Drosophila melanogaster: one gene and its partner. The protein of the gene in region 2 purifies or fractionates together with the protein of the main gene of each other region. This does not show direct contact. Each region holds a gene or a part of one and is shown on either strand. Other genes may lie near its edges.

Region 1 (5,168 bases), on a different chromosome or scaffold from region 2:
AAGGACGAAGACGAGGTCGCGGCCGAAGGGGGCGGAACAGGACAGGATAGGACCCAAGCAGCTGTTCGGCCTGCACAAGGACAAGGACGCTCACGAGGCGCTACGGATACGATACGAGCACGATACACGGACACGGTTACGGCCACGGCCACGGCTCAATGTGGAAAACACTTGGCGCCCTTGACAATGGGCTATCGCTTATATAAGGGACCTTGGCGAGCTCCCATAATTATTGCACATTTCCCCGATTTATTGACACTATATGTATATTTATTATAATATTTTTCAATATATTTTTTCCTTATATTTTCACTCTCTGCTCGGCCAGTGGGGCTTTGTTTATTTGCTAGAATCGCGACAGGTTGGAATATATTCGCAACCGTTGCGTTGGCCGTACTTTCTCTGACTGAAACAGCAAAAGCTCTGAAAGCCAGAACAGAACCAGAAAAGAGCGACAAAAAAGCGAGTCGGTTCTCGCGCAAAAAGCTGCACAATGAAAGTGAAAACCGTATGAAAAATGAGAGAATCCGACTGCAAAGATGGGAAGAATTCGAAAGCGAGAGGCTCGGAGAGAGAGAGCGACTGCGTACGAGGAAGCTGAGGTGAAGAATACGAAAAGCAAAACATAAATAAACAAAAATAAACGCGAATGAGCCAGCCAAAAGAGAAGAACGCACACGGATTTTTCTAAACTTTTTTTTTGCGATGGGGGTTAACAAAATTTGGACTGGGGCAGTTTCAAGGGGGAGTTTTTGGAGTTTTTTGTGGCTAAGGGTTGATTATTCGGGGGTTGCTCGCTTCCCATTTGGGGTTTCACTTGACGGGACTCAACTTCCGTGTTTCAGTGCGTATGAGTAATGTGCGTGTGGAGAGATTTTCGTGGGGTTGCGCTTTTCGGTTGGTCTGGGCTACACTGGGTTATTTTCTCTGGGTAAGGGCAGGGTTACGCATTGAGGTAGGTTCGGGGTCTGCTCGTAATTGATGAATGGAGCTGTATTGCCAAAAAAGGGAATATTGCGCATAAAATTAAATTAGTTTGGGTTGGGGCTTGGCCTTTTATGTTTTGTTGAAAGTTTTTGAATGTTCATCCTGTAAAAAGTGACTACAAACATTTTATCTGAACATAAATTTATAAAAACAAAGGCTGTTCTACTTTAGTCTTGTTACAGATAACTTTAATTTAATAAATTTATCATTTTCATTATCACTAAGCATCAAAAGTTTAATACTTAATAAGAAGTATTATCAACATCGCTTACTTTCACCTGTCTATAACACGAAATCAGAGCAATCATCTGGCATTGGCGAAACAAATGCATATTTTTTCCAAGCGCCATGAGATGATGCCTCATGCCCCACAATTCCCTGTCTATTCGATGGCGGCCATATAGCGGAAGTTTCCGCAAACGTCAGTGGGGGAGACCTCCAGAAAAATGTACGGAGATACAAACGCTAGGCGCCGAATAAACCGCTATTTGCAAACGAGCAAAGGCGATGACACTCGGCGTGCAAGTGTGTGCACTCGCGTGTGCATGACAACATTCAATAGCAGCGTAATCAACAAACAAAATGCAACCTCACGAGCTGCAACCATTTGACAGAGTGTATATGTTGAACAGGCTTTTAAAATATAACAATTTATTTTAATAAAACTTTTAATAAAATGATGCTTTTATTCGAATATTTTGCAATCACATACATAGTTGTGTTTAATTGATTTCAAACATCTTATTTAATTTAAAAAAAATTGGTTAGTAATAATAATTAAATCTATGTTGTTAGCCACAGTAAATTTAAGTGAAAATCAACGTTACGGTTAAATAAAAAATTATACTTTGATTACACATTTTCTTCAAGTGCAAGCCCACACACAGACTACAATCAAAAACGCACACCACAGCACGAGGCGGCAATGTATTGACCTTAACACTGAACGACATCGCACACACTTGCATTGCAAAATAAGAACTTGAAATAGAATAAATCGAGCAAGAGAGCAGTGCAAATAAAAAGAGAGCGCCGAGAGAAATAGAGCACGTGAGTGTATGTGTGTTCAAGTTCACCCACACCAAGGCGAGTCTAACAGGGCGTCTACAGTTGAGCAAGCAGCGCTCTGTTAACGGGCTGCAGATCCCCTGTTAGCTTTCCTCCTCTGTTTTCTTGGGGTCTCTGCATTTCAGCGGAGTTGCCAGGGGGCGTTGGGTGGTGGGGCTGCGTTCTGTTTGCAGGGGGTGTGGCTCGCCTCTAATGAGGGTTGCAACTCCAGACGGAGTTTCATCCGAGTGGAATGAGTCAGACAGCCGGGGAATGGGTCCAAAAAAGGAGCTTATTCAGCAGGAAGGATAAGTGCTTTCGAGTTCGTTTTTTTTGGTCAATAAATTTAACCATCTAATTGAGGACTTAGTTACGCCTGATATCCGAGAGTTAAAGGTCATGCGACCCTTATACATGGTTTTGTGCAATATAAAATGATCACTTTTCTATCTTATGTTTGTCGGTTTTCGTATTGTTCTGTTTAGTTTAGCAACCTGCTTTTAATTTACTTTTAACTTTTAGGCTTTCGATTGTATGAACTGTTAAGTACTTCGCAAACCTTTGTTCAACTATTTCAAATTTTATATTTTTACTTTTTGCTTCGTTTATTATTTTAAAACAATTTGAGAGCATTTCTATGCACATTTTTCGTTCTTGATATTATTTGACCGTTTTTTATGCTTTCATGAGTCACATAATGCTTATACATATGTATATGCTTAACATCGTTCAGTTATGCGCAGTTAAGTGAATTTTGTTGAATGGTTCATGAGTTTAAGCATAAGTTTTCTATTTAAAGATAGATCAGTTTCACAAATCCTATATATAAAGGATTTCTGTTAGTTGAATTATTTTCAATGACGACGAGTGTTAACTTGCACACAATAATATGTTACACCATATTTTTTTATAGATATTTCTGTATTTAATATTGTCACAGCTTAAAATTTTAAACTTTGGCAATTGTTTGCACTATTCTGATTGTGATTGAAAAGACTGTCCTTGTGCTTCCCTTGTTACTTGTGATATTTATATAGCATCGAATTGGCACACAAAACTCACACAACTCTGCCTTAATCCAATTCACGTACAAAGAGTTCACCACTTATTCGGACGCATCACGCAGATACTTTTTGTATCTGCATTCAGAGGATTGCTATTTGTCCCGATCGAATTCTGGTGCTAACAAACGAAAGTTAACCGCCGATTGGTAAGACGATTGCGCAGAAGAGGAAAAGCGCGACAGAGGACGGAACGCGACGGTGACGGTGCGTTCCACATGACGTATTCAAAATGACTGAGACCAGACCGAGACTGGACTGCAAATTTTCGCAAAAGTGAAAAATTCTACTTTCAATATGAAAACGAACTGCGCTGTCGCCGTCGACGCCGACTGCGCTGCCTGGGCGGGAGTTGTGCAGCGGCAGCGCACTGTGGGTGTGGGTAAGGTAGGTCGTGGTATGGGAATGCACAGTGGCTACAGAGAGAGAAAAGGGAGAGCACCATCACCATTACAGAGAGTGATAGAGAGAAAGAGCAGAGCGGAAGGCCGACAGAGCCAGAACCTGCAGCGAATGCAGAGAACAAAGCGGAGCAGAGAAGTCAATGTACAAAGCAGATTGGGGGTGCAATGGACGCCGAACATGGAACTCAGGCGCGGACGTGTACGTCGCCACAGTGGATGCCCGCTAGAAAGAAATCGAAATCATGCTAATTTTTCAGTTTAAGAAATCTGAAATCTTGAAACTTGAAAAATTATTTAAACAATTAAACAACTAAACAAGTTCTTTAGAGCATTATGTTAATTTTTTTTTGGTTTAGCTAAATTAGAAAGAATTTTTTAGAAATTTGCTGATGTTTTCATGTGGAACATATGGAAGGTGTGTGTTGATTTCATCCTTTAATAACCCAAATATATTTTACTACTAGCTTGGAAAAAAATAAAAATCCCTACCAACCTATATTAAAATTTTTAGGAACTCATTAAATGATGAACTATCAATAAAAAGAAATAATAAAATAATCATTATCCAACTAGACAGGCCAAATTAATGATCTCGATATCGCAACATTTCAAGTTGCCCTGTACCGGGCTTTCCAAGCTTATTTCCATGTTTCTGACGTGTACAGTAGTACATATCGTGGTTCCCGCCTGGAGTGACTTGCCCCTTTTGCGTGCTTCTTTTGGGGTTGCAAAGTTTTGGCATTCCGGGAGTTGTCGTAGCACAGAAATTAAAAATAATTGCAAAAAGTCGGCGAGTGGGTGGATTTCTCGGGTTTTCTGATCCTGGTTGTCGGTCCCTGTCTGTCTGGAGTTGCAACCCCTCGGGCAACGAAATGAAAGCAAACTTCAGACTCTTGGACTTGGGGTGTGGAAAGCGAGTGGGTATCAAAGGGCCGCGAAGCAGAAAAGGCGAGAAAGGAGTAAGAGGACAAGCGGTTTCCTAGACACTCGATGGGCTACTTTTTGTTTGGTAAGGTCGGTCCCAGGCAGAGATACTTCCTTTATGAGCTTCGATTTTAGCCAGCATCGGGGGTTGCACTCTTATGGATCTGGCTTTCATTGTCTTTCACGCTGTGGGATAGGTTTGAAGGGAACAGCATCTTGTAACCTTGATTTTCTTATTTGCCATTGTTGTTGACAAGACGGGATTAACTTTCAAGAACTTATCATCACTGTTCCCGGACAGCGTTTCAAGAAAACCCCCCGTGACTACACTATTATAATTTTTTAATAGAAACTCTGAAATTGCATATTGACTATTTTATTTTATGGAATATCGATGCTTATTATTTTAAGTTTTAACGACTGTACAAATAAACTATAGCAAATGTAATTTAACCTTGCAAATACCACTGCAGACATTTGCCAATTCAGGTTCAGTCTTCTGGGGCATTTTGGAACCGAATCTGTCTCCTTGAGGACCTCCAAATGCAACGAGGGCGTTGCATTGAGACACTGGCCCTGGCAGCCCTAATACAATAGTGGTCAAATACCATGGTCAATGACAGCGTCGTGAAATTTGCAACTGGCGACACGTGGCAGGGGCAACCAGACGCCACCCTTGGTCCTTTTAAGAGGATGCCCCCGTCAACCCAATCTGAATCCAGTTAAAAACGTCTCTCTTTCTCTC
Region 2 (5,216 bases):
ACTGTATCATAACTTTATGTTTTTGCTGGCATTGATTCCGTCGTTTTGGATTATGGGATTTTTCTCTCTGATTTAATGATAATTGAAAACGCTCGACAAACTTTGATTCGCGCTTTTGCTTCTCTTCTCTTCTTTTTTTTTTTTTTTGTCAGATTTTGGAAAATTCCCACGTCAAAAGAAAAAGTTTTAAACGAATTCACTTTAAATTCAATTACATTTTAAGCTGCAATCCAGAGAGAGGGGAGCGAAAGTAAAGTGGCATTCGCACATGATGCCATTCTGGGCACAAAGTCAACGCGAGGGCAAATATGCGCATTCAAAAGTTGACGCTCAAATCCCAAAGATTTGAATAATTGTAATGAATTTGCCGGAGCTCCGTAATCCGCCAGACGAGCCTCCGGGCACAGCGGCCCACACCCATCCCGGCACCACCCACTTTTGGGCAAATGTTGCAACATTTAATGGAAATGAAATGGTAATGACTGGATTTGGGAGCATAGTTAGGGCTACACTGAAATAAAACTGGCACCACACATTTAAAATTCACAAAATGGGAGTGTTTGCAGGGGAGTATCAATATATGTATTAATGGTTTAAATTACTCTTTATGCCTATATGGCATAATTACTTTACTCTCTATATGACGTGTTAAGGAAGTCCTTTTTGTTATTTATAGTTTTTATTTCTAATTTGAGGTCCGCAAAATATCTTTCTGTGTGCACTCACCGATAAATGAGTTTCCGCCGCACGCTGCGTTTGAAGAATCCGGAGCAGCCATTGCAGGCTAGGATTCCGTAGTGCTTTCCCGAGCTGGTGTCGCCGCACACCACGCAGATGAGGCCCAGGTTCTGACCCTTAATCCGGGTCATCGATGAACCCTCCGCCGCCGACGAGTGGTTCATGGAGTTGGCTGCCGCTTGGGCTGCCGCCGCCGCAGCAGCTGCAGCGGCACTGTGATTCCAGCTCAGCAATCGACCATTGGGCACGTTTGGGGCGGCGGGATGAGGGGGCGGTGGCTGTGTGGGCGGGGCCACGCCCGTTGATGTAGGTGGAGGCGCCTGTCCGTGCATCGGCGCCGGCGGCGGAGTGTAGCAATGCCGCTGCGGACTGTGGAGTTCTAAAGTTATGAAGCAGATTAGTGAATGGTATCTAAGAGAATCGAAATTGTATCTTTTTGTTATCTGGGAAGTTACTACGGCTTTATTAAGATCATACAGTTGGGTTTATTAGCTCGTATATAGATCTTAAAATCAACGAATTGTGCAAGTGGTTAAAGCTTAGTTGGCGTTTAAATATTAATAAATATTCAAAATTGTTTATAAAACGGGAAAAATAGTATACATAATGTTTAGCTAATACTAGCAGAATGTAGAAATGTAATGTATAATTCTATACAATTTCCGCACTGTAGCTTAACATTTTTAAACTTAACGCGTAATGATTGTCCTTTAGCTATTCTTTTCATCGGCATATTAAATGATTAATCTCGTTCCAGCATAAGACATTTAAAATTTTCGACCAGACTTAAGACCAGTTTTCCCGGTGGTAATGGGTGGTGCAATAAAAAATCACTTATGCAGTTCATATAAATTAAATCCCAATTTGTCAGTTGTACCGGATTGCGGATGCAAAGGACCTGCCGATCTTATCCCTGCGTGGCGACATTGACGCCCTGTAATCCGCAAATATATTTACACATTCAATTAGGGTGCCATTAAGCCAAACGGCTCTCGACCAGAGCGTGCCGAGCAATCTGTGCGCCAAATTTGCCTCGGGGGACGATTGTTTTGCCATCACACCCTAATTTGATTGTAGTTTCCTTACTGATTTTTTGATGCACTTAACCCTCGACGTTCCAAGGACGAGGCTGAGGACACATTTGTAACACTCGCCACTTGGCTGTGCGCTCGACCATTTGGGTTCGTGGTTCTGGTTTGCGTTTGGGTTTGGGTTTTGCTCCTGCTTGGCATTGGAATGGAAAGACAAAGTCAGGCGGCCATTCAGCCGGGACCAACTGGCAGGACTGCGGTCCAAAGCCGGAGGATTAGCGTCATATGCTTGCATTTTCCGGGGCACCGGGGCATCTTTGTTAATTTTATGGGCTCGTTGAAATTCACTTTGGCGCACACAAAAGTGTTAAGGGCGCCGGGATGGCTGTGTTATGAATTTCTGACATTTTTGGCGGCCTGACTCGGAGTCTAATTCAATTTGGTGATTATCGCAAATTGAATTTGCCTGGCCATTCGTGCATGCCATCAGCAAGTTGGGCATCGATTTGATTTGAGTGTCTCCGCAGACAACTGGTTCCTGCAAATTGGTAATTAAAATTGCCAATGTGATTTCCGAGCAGAGCGATCAGAATCCGCTTGTTTCTTTTCATGTTTTAGTCTGGGCATTTTACAATTGATCCAGTCATTTCAACATATAAAAAGTTATACTTCTTAACATTATATTTAAATTGGTCACACAGCTATAAAATAGATTTTCTATTCAAATCGCTAAACTTATAATTGACGTATAAGAATTCGCTTAAAAAAGGAGTCATATCTGAATATCATAAAATGAATTGTTAAAGTTTTTTTTTTGCTAGGAACTCAATCCTTAAAATGTGTGTTAGTTTTCGATATAACATTATTATTTCGGCACTAATTACAACTCACATTTGAAACAATTTTTTCCGTCGGGTAATTAGAATGAAAAAGCTTAAATTTAATTTATATTACGATGCCAGTCGTTTTTTGTAATCTTTGCTTTCACATCCTTTCCGTTTTTTTCTTTAACATATCACTTTTTTTATTTTCCTATCTTATCCGTCCTAATTAATCGTGGGTGTAAGAAACGTAATTATATTTCACGCACAATTTCCCAACAAACGTGATATTGTCCTTTTTAAAATTTGTTGGTAAAGGAATTTTTAGCCACCATTAGGGCCATCTTGTATATTTATTTTTTTATGTATTTAAGTAAGGAAACCACACCTTTGTGTTTACAGCTTAATAAATATATTTCATCACCATACTCATGTTTTTATTAACACACTAATTTACCTTGAGAAGATGGTCGTGTTTCGGAGGAATTTTCTTCCTTATTCATTTTGTTGAGCTTTGGCGGACTGCGATTAAAGATCACACCTCGTTGAAAAGTTTATTAACAATTGACACTATTTGTAAGAATTTCTAAAACACCACTTTTAAATGGCACTTTTCGGGTTCATCGCAGTAGGCTCCATATTAATTTGCAATCGTGGAGAGGCGACGGCAAGTGGACGGTCCTCTGATTCCCGCTGATGAAACCGAACCAATCCGATCCGACGGCGCTGCGAGTGTGCCGCGATGATGATGTTAACGTCTCGATGTACGATTTCAGATTCCGGATTTCAGATTTATCATAAAAGCGTGACAGGAGCTAAACACTGATGTGTCCACTCCAGCAGTCGGCCAACCAGCCAACGGGCCAACCCCGGACTAGGGGGAAAAAACCATATCGCAGGATATAATCCGCGGTCGCTGAGTGGGCAGAGAAGTCCTTGCCGCGCGCGTGTGTGTGTGAGGACAAAAAGCACGGCATACACTGCACACACACACACATAGGAGCAGGAAGAGCAGAGAGCATCGAGCAGCGAGCAAGGAGCAGCGAGCGAAGGATAACCGCACACCACCCACCCACCAACGGAGACTTTTAGTGGCAACTCTGGTGGCGCATTTGCTTGTTGGCTTGCTTTGATTCGTTCCTTCTTGATGCTGCGGCAGGAGCTTGTCCTCGCTGTTAGTGTTAGTGTGTTGGTGTGCGGCCCTGCGAGTGTGGGTAAGCCAAGCCGCAATCGCAATCTCCAATAAACACCCGGCTCTGCGCTCTCTGCGCACACACACAAGCACACATACCAAGGCACTCGAAAGAGCAGAGAACGCCCGGTCGCCATCATGACTCAAAAAAGCTGAGCGACGGCGGGGAGCGGAAACGGAAGTGGGCGGGAGAGCGGAAGTGGAGCAGAGCAATGGTGGCGCCCCACCAATACAACCATGAAACGAATGACGCAGCTGCGCGGCTGGCGCTCGTATAATCGTCTTGGGTTTTGACATTTTGTTTTTGTTTTATAATACCCTTTGTGATGTCGGCGCTTTCGAGCTTGCGTCGTCCTGCCCCTCGATCCTTTCGCTAACAGTTTGGCCCCCCTCTTGACCCTCTGCCAACGACGTCACTCTTGGCCTCGTATTCTAACCGCCCCCTAAAAGCCCCAACTTCCACCCAGAAATTGCCGCCACCCAGTAAACTGTAATTGAATTGAAGAAGAAAATGTTTCTGCTGGTGTCTGTGGGTGTACTTGGATCTAAATCAAGAATATTTAAGTGCACATATAACCAAAAGAGTTTTAAATTATATATATATTATAATATACATATATTATCCTAATATTATAATTTGTTTGTTTTTAAATATTTTTCTAATTTGATGGGTGATTTTATTTAACTTTAATATCACAATCATGTTTCATTTACCTTCCTGATTTTATTGCAACAATTATATATTTATATATTTAGATATAGATATTTAGATTATTATTTGTACAAGAAATTAAAGTAAGAACCAAGGCTTGTATTAAATTAAGTTTTAACGAATTTTAAGAAGCCTCATAGAACCAGTCATTCAAGTTTGTGAACTGTTCGAGAAAATATGCTGAAGACAGAATATATATGCTCAGAAGTGGGTTTTTATATTTTAAAAAGTATAACCTTAAAATATTTATAATGTCAAACTTAATGTAATGTGTAAAGATGTTCTATCTAATGGTCTACGTAGTCTTATTTATGCATACACATTTTTATTTACTCTCTATACATTATAATTTTATGGATAAGAGAGCCAGAGCTAGAGGTGGTCCCGGGTCCACTAATCCAATAATCGATAAATGCTGCTCGCAGGACCAAAACGGGCGGCATGGGGGCTCCGTTGTGCTCCCCGATTTTGTTGTGGGGCTTTTGCCATGCTTAATGCGCCGACATTAACTTTGTAACAAATGAGATGTCGGAATACAACAGTCAGGATCCTGGCAAGCCACAGCCCCTCCCCGCAGCTCCCTCCCTTGCTCCTTTCACCGCTCCTTTCTGCAATCTCGCTCTCTTCGCGGGGGAGAAAGCTAGAGAGCAGCTGCGGCTGGCAGAAGTTTATGCTCGGGACAAAAGTGAACAAATGCAAAAGTCAAAGCGCTTTGCCAGCAT

What was found.
Region 1: the proteins of Hr51 (region 2) and Eip75B purify together in Drosophila melanogaster (affinity purification with western blotting, with the first as the bait; one study listed by BioGRID). This does not show direct contact.

Annotation. Positions count from the first base shown.
Region 1 is NT_037436.4:18,061,386-18,066,553, forward strand, and holds the start of Eip75B (Ecdysone-induced protein 75B), read right to left. Parts: upstream 3,312-5,168; 5' UTR 3,126-3,311; intron 69-3,125; exon of another isoform or gene 1-68. UniProt on the Drosophila melanogaster protein: Implicated in the regulation of ecdysone-triggered gene hierarchies. Probably plays a key role in mediating the regulation of the larval molt by 20-OH-ecdysone.
Region 2 is NT_033778.4:15,329,478-15,334,693, reverse strand, and holds the start of Hr51 (hormone receptor 51), read right to left. Parts: upstream 3,370-5,216; 5' UTR 3,094-3,369; coding exon 3,048-3,093; intron 1,118-3,047; coding exon 727-1,117; intron 1-726.